Drosophila melanogaster: one gene and its partner. The protein of the gene in region 2 purifies or fractionates together with the protein of the main gene of each other region. This does not show direct contact. Each region holds a gene or a part of one and is shown on either strand. Other genes may lie near its edges. The genes, in order: CG1227 and Aldh7A1.

The links.
Region 1: the proteins of Aldh7A1 (region 2) and CG1227 purify together in Drosophila melanogaster (affinity purification with mass spectrometry, with the first as the bait; one large-scale study listed by BioGRID). This does not show direct contact.

The regions. Positions count from the first base shown.
Region 1 is NT_033777.3:7,247,823-7,251,747, reverse strand, and holds CG1227 (uncharacterized protein), read left to right. Parts: upstream 1-2,009; 5' UTR 2,010-2,327; coding exon 2,328-2,443; intron 2,444-2,503; coding exon 2,504-3,098; intron 3,099-3,156; coding exon 3,157-3,291; intron 3,292-3,346; coding exon 3,347-3,463; 3' UTR 3,464-3,597; downstream 3,598-3,925. Other genes in the region: Obp84a (Odorant-binding protein 84a), read left to right, coding at 228-452, 508-572, 626-752, 813-907; Dtwd2 (DTW domain containing 2), read right to left, coding at 1,053-1,728, 1,791-1,870; CG10053 (uncharacterized protein), read right to left, coding at 3,629-3,925.
Region 2 is NT_037436.4:19,267,082-19,271,006, forward strand, and holds the start of Aldh7A1 (aldehyde dehydrogenase 7 family member A1), read right to left. Parts: upstream 1,833-3,925; 5' UTR 1,768-1,832; intron 1,380-1,767; 5' UTR 1,379-1,379; coding exon 1-1,378. Other genes in the region: CG14085 (uncharacterized protein), read left to right, coding at 2,359-2,433, 2,492-2,595.

The DNA of each region.
Region 1 (3,925 bases), on a different chromosome or scaffold from region 2:
GAGAAATTATCTATAATTGAACAATCACTGAAAAGCTAGATTCTTTTGTGTGAAGTTCATTAAAAGTATACTTTATTGGTACTCAATTTCCGGAAATAATATGTCAAATTATTGTAACTGTGCATGGCACAATGAAATCTATTCAATGCATGAGAATGTGATCTATAAAAGGTCAGTCACAGAATCCCATCCAGCACTTTGTTTGTTCAAGATGTATTCCGCGTTAGTTAGAGCTTGTGCTGTCATTGCTTTTCTGATCTTGAGCCCGAATTGTGCCAGGGCTCTACAGGATCACGCCAAGGATAATGGTGATATTTTCATCATAAACTATGATAGTTTCGATGGCGATGTGGATGACATATCCACCACCACTTCAGCTCCTAGAGAGGCTGACTACGTAGATTTTGACGAGGTTAATCGTAACTGCAATGCTAGTTTCATAACGTCGATGAGTGAGTGCAAAGGTTAACGAAGGCAATATATGACTACATTTATCGCCTCTTTCAGCCAATGTCTTGCAGTTTAATAACACTGGGGATTTGCCAGATGACAAGGATAAGGTAACCAGCATGGTAGGTGTGCTTTGCAGATCCTTCGCCTCCCGATACTCAAAGATTACTTGCAGTGCTATTTTCACTGCTTTTTCGAAAAGTCCGGTTTGATGACGGACTATAAGTTAAATACGGATCTGGTGCGCAAATATGTTTGGCCAGCCACTGGCGATTCCGTTGAGGCCTGCGAAGCTGAAGGCAGTGAGTGTTCTAGGCAGAACTTTTTAATTACAAACGAAATCTTTAATGTGTAATCCTCAGAGGACGAGACGAATGCTTGCATGCGGGGCTATGCCATCGTCAAGTGCGTGTTTACTAGAGCCCTCACGGATGCTAGAAACAAACCCACTGTATGAATAACATCAAAGGTCACATCTCGGACTTATCAGTAGAAAATTATAATGTTAGCGTCACTAAATCAAATACGGCTACGACCGGAACACAAAATTGGCTATAAAGCACAGGCACCTGCAAGTTATTTGGTATTTTCTGCCCCGGCTATCACGTTTCCTCATTGCCATCGCAGGCGGTGTTTCTAAGCAGACGGCTGAGCCGCTTGCCAATGGGCTTGGGGTACTGGTTGTTCTTCAATAGAAACTCCTTGGACTGGTGCTCCACGGCTCCGTTGTCTAGTTGGTACTTGCACAGCGTGTGCAGCGGTCGCACGAGCGTTTGCCTCAGCTCTGGCCGAGATTCCAGCACTGCCAGGCATTGCGCAGCGGTCTCTAGTGTGCTAAGGCATCCTTCAGTAGGCTGTGTACGGATGATGTAGTCACTTATACCCACGGCGATGAGTTTCACCTGTCGCAGGCGGTGTAGAGCCGGACTGCTAGCGTAAATGGCTTTAGCCTGAGGCCAGGTACCATCGATGAGCACCAGTGTATAAGGACCCGCACTGTGGTCCACCTCTTCCAGTGGGACCGAGTCCCGACTGGGATACAGAAGCAGTGTTTGTGGAGAGTCCAAAATCCTCTGCAGATCAGCATGGTTTCTATGGTTTGGAAACCGCTTGCCTTTGTAGACGACACATTTTCCCGGTTCCAAACCCAACTGCAGCATCAGTGCAGTGCGTAGCGATCTCTTCTCCTCTGCAGGGTGTTGCAGTATAACAATCTGTGAGGACACCGCCTCAGGTGGATGCGGTAAAGCCGGGCACCAGCAAACAACCACGGGTCGTCTATAATAGAGTTCATGAAAATACTTTAATTTTTATGGCAGATTCCCAGCTTCACCACTCACTTGCATTTCTCGCACTTGTTGCGTCTGTTGGGCGGATCGGCGCTGATGCCCACGAGGTCCAGCCACGCGTCATCCTCCATACTTATAATTGATTAAATTAGAAAAATGCTAAGTTTATATTCCGCACGATAAGAAATCCGTAAGCAACAATTCGCAACTAGGTGGCAACGCACACAGCCACATGGCAAATATGACCGCCCTGTCTTCGAATCAGCTGTTTGGAGTGCAGTGAAATTGCGATTATGCGATGACAGAATCTTGAATTCCTTTAATCTATACACCAAGGAATCAAAATAAATATTAATTTATTAATACGTCAAGAAACTAAAATCGTAAAAATAATACGAAAGTGCCTAGTTTTTAAAGTTAAAGTTAATATAGAATCTTACAAATATGGTTAAAAATCACCGAACTTCATAAATTCGTTCCAGTATAAACATTCCACTTCAGCTTTGTGTTTTCTATTTAGATTTTGTATGTGAATTGAACTAGTTGTTAAGCTTAAAGTTGTGAAGTACATAGCATAATTTAAGAAAAATGCAGAGTATAGGATGGACGCTGATCATGAAACGCGGCTGCCTCTTTAGTTGCCGCAAGGAGACCCTGAACATAAACGGATCTCGATACACAATCCGCGAAAGGCTGGCGACGGGGTTTGTACCACATTTTTCCCACTATCTCCTCTGATATATCTAATCTGAGTGTTTAAACAGGGGCTTCAGTCTAATCGACCTTGGGGAAAACGCCTCCACGCGACGTAGCTATGCGATAAAGCGCATCACCTGCCACAGCATCGATGATCAGAATATAGCTCTGCGAGAAATCGAAAACTGTCGAAAAATTGACTCGGAAAACGTGATCCGGGTAGTGGATTACGAGCTGAAGGGCCAGGCGGACATAGTTATAAACACAACGAGCACCTTGTTCATTGTGCTTCCCTATTACAAGCACGGATCTCTTGCGGACCACCTTCAGCTGCGATCGCGGAAACAGGACCACATGCCCGAGGCCCAGATCCTGCAAATCTTTCTGGGCGTCTGCGAGGGATTGAAGGCCATCCACGAGGCAATGCCGGTGCCTCTGGCCCACCGAGATCTAAAAACGGCCAACATCTGCCTGTCGGACTCTTTTGAGCCAATTATTGTGGATCTCGGGTCAATGACAGAAGCCCGACTGCAGATTGTGGGCCAGACGGATGCTCAGCGCTTGCAGGACGAAGCCGAGGAGAGGAGCTCCATTGTCTACCGGGCTCCAGAGTTATTTACCGTGAAAACATATTGCACAATTGACGAGCGCACTGACATATGGGTAAAGCAGATCCAAGAGAGCGTTATTGAAGTTCTTCCTTAACATTTCCCTCTTTCAGAGTCTTGGCTGTGTGCTCTATGCAATGTGCTACTTTAATTCACCCTACGATCCCATCTACGAGCGAGGTGACAGCGTGGCTTTGGCTGTGCTCAGTGGGAACATAAACATTCCAGAGGATTCAATTTACACAGAGGTAATAAACCTTTTTTTTATATTGTAAAGGAAACTAATTCCAAATATTTGTCTAGGACATGCACGAATTAATTAAGTACATGCTGCGAACAGATCCAATGGAACGGCCATTCGTGTTTAGTGTTATCGAAAGGACCCACGATCTGATACAGAAACTGGAGGGTCGCTTGTAGCTCCCACTAACTGGATTACAACTCATTTATAGACATTCCTCCAAACCAGATACACCGCTTACTGTTTTTTGACTACTTATTGTAAAATATTTTAAACCTGCTGATTTTATGAAATTATGTGTAAGCAATCAAGCTAGTTTTTTTATTTTATTTTATTGATTGGAGCTAGTGTTCGTCACGAGTGAGTCCTGGACAGTTGGAGCCCAGATCTTCGGCGTCATCGTAATGGGTCCCACACCAATAGCAGAAGCAATAGGCTGTGCGCAGGTAGCCAGTGAGGAGTTCTAATTGCTCCGAGGGACTGTATGGTTCTTGCTTAGGTGGCACCTCGACTTCAGGATCGTCGGCGTCGCTCTGTGATTCATCTTCATCTTTTGGTTTAGGTGGCCAAAAGAAATCGAGATCTGGTTCTGTGATAGCGGACTTAAGATCCAACGATTCGCAGGTCTGCTGGCACCGTTT
Region 2 (3,925 bases):
TGAAAATGGCAGAGGATAAGCCCTGTTCCACCTCATTGTTCCATTCGATGGCCTGGTCCACGTTTTTGGCTTTGAGGATGTACACAATTGGTGCAAAGGTTTCGCGATGGACAACGCTGGCATCGTGCGGCAATCCAGTGATCACTGTGGGCTCTACGTAAAAACCATCCCGCTGGATGACATTACCTCCGAAGGCCACCGTTCCTCCTAAGGATTTCGCTTCCGCGATGGCCGCCTTGTAGTTCTCCACGTTTTGTTGCGTGTGCACGGGACCCACCAGAGTTTGAGCTTCGAGCTGGTGTCCAATCTTGGAAATTAGCTGCTTATATTTACCAACCAGCTCCTTTACGAACTGATCGTGCAGCTTTTCGTGGACAATAATCCTCCTGGTGGTGGTGCATCTTTGACCACTGGTGCCAATGCAGCCGAAAAGTGCGGCGTCCAGGGCCATCTTCACGTTGGCAGATTCATCGATGATTAGGGCATTATTGCCGCCTAGCTCGAGGATCACCTTGCCGAATCTGCGCTGCACTTCAACACCCACATCCCGACCAGTTTGGCAGCTGCCGGTGAAGGAAACGAGGTTAACTCTCTTATCAGCCACCAAGGTCTGACCAACATCGGTTCCTCCTTGGCAGAGGGTCACCACCGGCGGCAGATTGTTCCTACGCAGCACTTCAGCCACAATTTTTGTGGTCGCCACCGAGACCAAGGGAGTGCTGGGAGCTCCTTTCCACAGCACACTGTTGCCGGTGGTTAGGGCGATGGCAGCATTCCAGCCGAACACAGCATTGGGAAAATTGTAGGCCGAAATAACGCCCACCACTCCCAGCGGACGCCAGGCCTCCAGAATCGAATGATCCGCACGCTCCGAGTTGATCAGCTGGCCGGAGTAAATCCTTGAGAGGCCAACCGCATAGTCGCAGATATCTATGAACTCCTGAACCTCGCCCTGTCCCTCGCTGTAGATTTTGCCCACCTCCAGGGAGACGAGCTTTCCCAGTGGTTCCTTGTACTTTCTCAGCTCATCGCCGATTTGGCGCACTATTTCGCCGCGAACGGGAGCTGGAACCTGTCGCCACTGCTTGTAGGCTTCCACCGCCAGCCCGATGGTATGCTCGAGCTCCTGGACATTTCCCTGACGCACTTTGGCAATCGGTTGACCAGTTCCGGGATCGTAGCTGGTAACGGATGGCCCACGACCCTGCCACTGACCCGAATAAACACCTGGATTGTCGCGCTCCAGTCCCAATTCTTTCAGGAAACTGTACTCCGGCTGGTCAATGAGATATGACGAGGACGATGAGTAGCTGGCGGTTTGGGTAACGAGGCGGCGCGGCAGCGCCAGCTTCGAAATATTTCTCAATTGTGCCAACATGCTGCATAATTAAAAACATATATTTACATATATTATAAATTTGTTATCAGTGATCCACATTTTCAGTATCTTAATATCAAAGATTATAGTTTATCTACAGACCAAATTATTTAAATAAAGATTTATTAAATAGTTCATAGAAGCTTGTGATTGAATTAAATACTATTTATTATGGGGACATGTTAAGATCCAGGGTTATTTCTACGAAGAATTGTTGTTCTGGCGGAGGAGAACGGGAGGAGATTTATGGATTACTGATTAAGAGCTGATACCGCTCTTATCGAGCGATAACAGCTCCGTCTGTTCTCTGGTTGCTGGCTGGAAAGTTTTGTTTTCAGATCCCCAGCAGAGCGGATCCACTGATAGCATCTCCACTAGAAGGTACTCACTTGGTAGGTGTCCGGATCGATGGAACGACTGACTGGCCGAGTCGCAAGTCAATTATCAACTGACGGCGGATTCTGAATGCTGAACCAGCGGGACAAATCGGCTTTTGTGGGCAGCTTATCGCAGTCGCAAACTGAATTGAATGCGTTAGGAGAGAGGGAGGGAGGGGAGCTCCCCTGGTTCTTATCAATTGAATTAAAAGAATTGAGAGGTTGAGTGCAGCGTGGTCATGAAAAAGTAGCATACTTTCAGATGGTTAGTCGAATATTTTATGTGTTGGTTTTGATCATTTCCCTAGGATCCATCGCAAATAATTAGTATACTAAATGCGAACCTATTGATACTGTTGCACTAATTTCAGTATAATGTATTTATTATTCATATTTGTTTTAGTTATCAGTTAAGCTTCGCATTTTTCGAATGTCCTGATAAAATATCGCTGTTCATATCCGATTTACGCTTTCGATTGGCTTAATCTTCTGTTTCCCTGGCAACAAGTGAACTAAATAAAATGTTTGTTAGTTGGCACATATTTAGCAGTTTGTTTGCCGTTGAAAGTTAATTGTTAAAGTGTTTGAAACAGGACCTACATAATGGAGGTGCTCGAAGAGGGAAACTTAATGGACAGAGTGCCCATTTTACTGCAGCGTGATCTCGAGTTTTACCAGGTGCAATACCCTAATACTGACTTTGTTGGAAATTACGTAACCCATCTCCACATAACAGACACATCAGCGGGTACTCCAGGAACCAATTTGCTCCGGAGTTGTGGGTGGAAAGCTGGATTTTCCACGCTACGCTTCCTTTGCGGCCATTAAATTAATAAGATGGTAGGTAAAACTTACATTTCGATTTCTAAGAAAATGGTTTAAAAAAATGCTATATATTTATTTAGTAAAATGAAAATAAACAGTTTATGTAAGCTTTATTTTATCCTAGAATTGGTTGAAAAGCTTGTGCTCTTTAATTCAAAAACAGGTTCGGGCAGATGAGTAGTATTGTGTGGTTTGTCCATACCATCATTGGTGTTGGAGGAATAGATTACCATACTGATCCATTGATGCAATTGCACCACATCGGTGTAAGTTCGCGAGTTGGAGCACTTCACCTCGACGGAGTTCGCGATTCCAAACAGAACTGTCCGGTTTGGCCCAATGTAGTCAATTTCACGGGTCAAGGCTGCGCCAGATGGTTCGTCACAGGAGTCCAGATCTTTGTGGCCGGCACAGAACTGGCCATGGTCCAGTTTTCCACATGCCTGCGGCATTCGGATCACAGTTTTGGACCTCAGCATAGGGTGATTTGTCCGAGTTCTTCCATGTAGTTCCATTGAAATAGTCCAGTTCATCGGCGAACGTCTGCATCCGTGAGTCCATAAGAATGCAGACCGGAATTATATGCTCTTTGTATACTACGGTTCGCAGCAGTTTCATTAGGCCCATGTTATTCGCCTGCGTTTCCGGATTAAAGTTGGCGTTACTGAAGAATGCAGCGACTATGTGGTCTTCTGCCAGCTCAGAACCAATTCTTCCGTACTCTCCCAACCGTGCTCTAATAACTCCAATGGAGTCACCACAATGTACATCTGTCAGGATAAATCGCTCGTGGATCAGGGTTCCCACGCCAACGATGCGTCCGAAATGGTGCAGGATGGCCGTCCAGGGACCAACTATATCTGGCGACAGGCCATCCCTTCTTTCTCCACAGATGTTCCCCAAGAATTGCGCCGATCCTGTTCCCGATAAGAAAATCAGTAGACTTGTGAGCACCGCAACAATTTCTAGTTCGCTGTGCATTGCTCTTGAATTAAAGTTTTCATACTAAGTTTGACTTAGCTCGGTGTCCTTTATAAATGCTTCTCGGCTACTCTTTTTAAAACATTATCAGCCGTTTCCAGTTCTACATATACATTATATAAAAATATAATAATAAATATAGAAATAAATACTTATCAGCCATTGCAGAATGTCAATCCAGCATAAACTTCAAGAAAAAAGTCTCTGATAACCTATTACAATCAATGCTGATTTTCCAGAAGAATTTGAAATTGTACACATGTATTGCAGATCAAAATTTATTTTCGCATATACTATTTTTATCACAAGAAAACCATAATCGACTTCTTCCACTATCAGATACCTCTTACTTAGCTAAATTTCA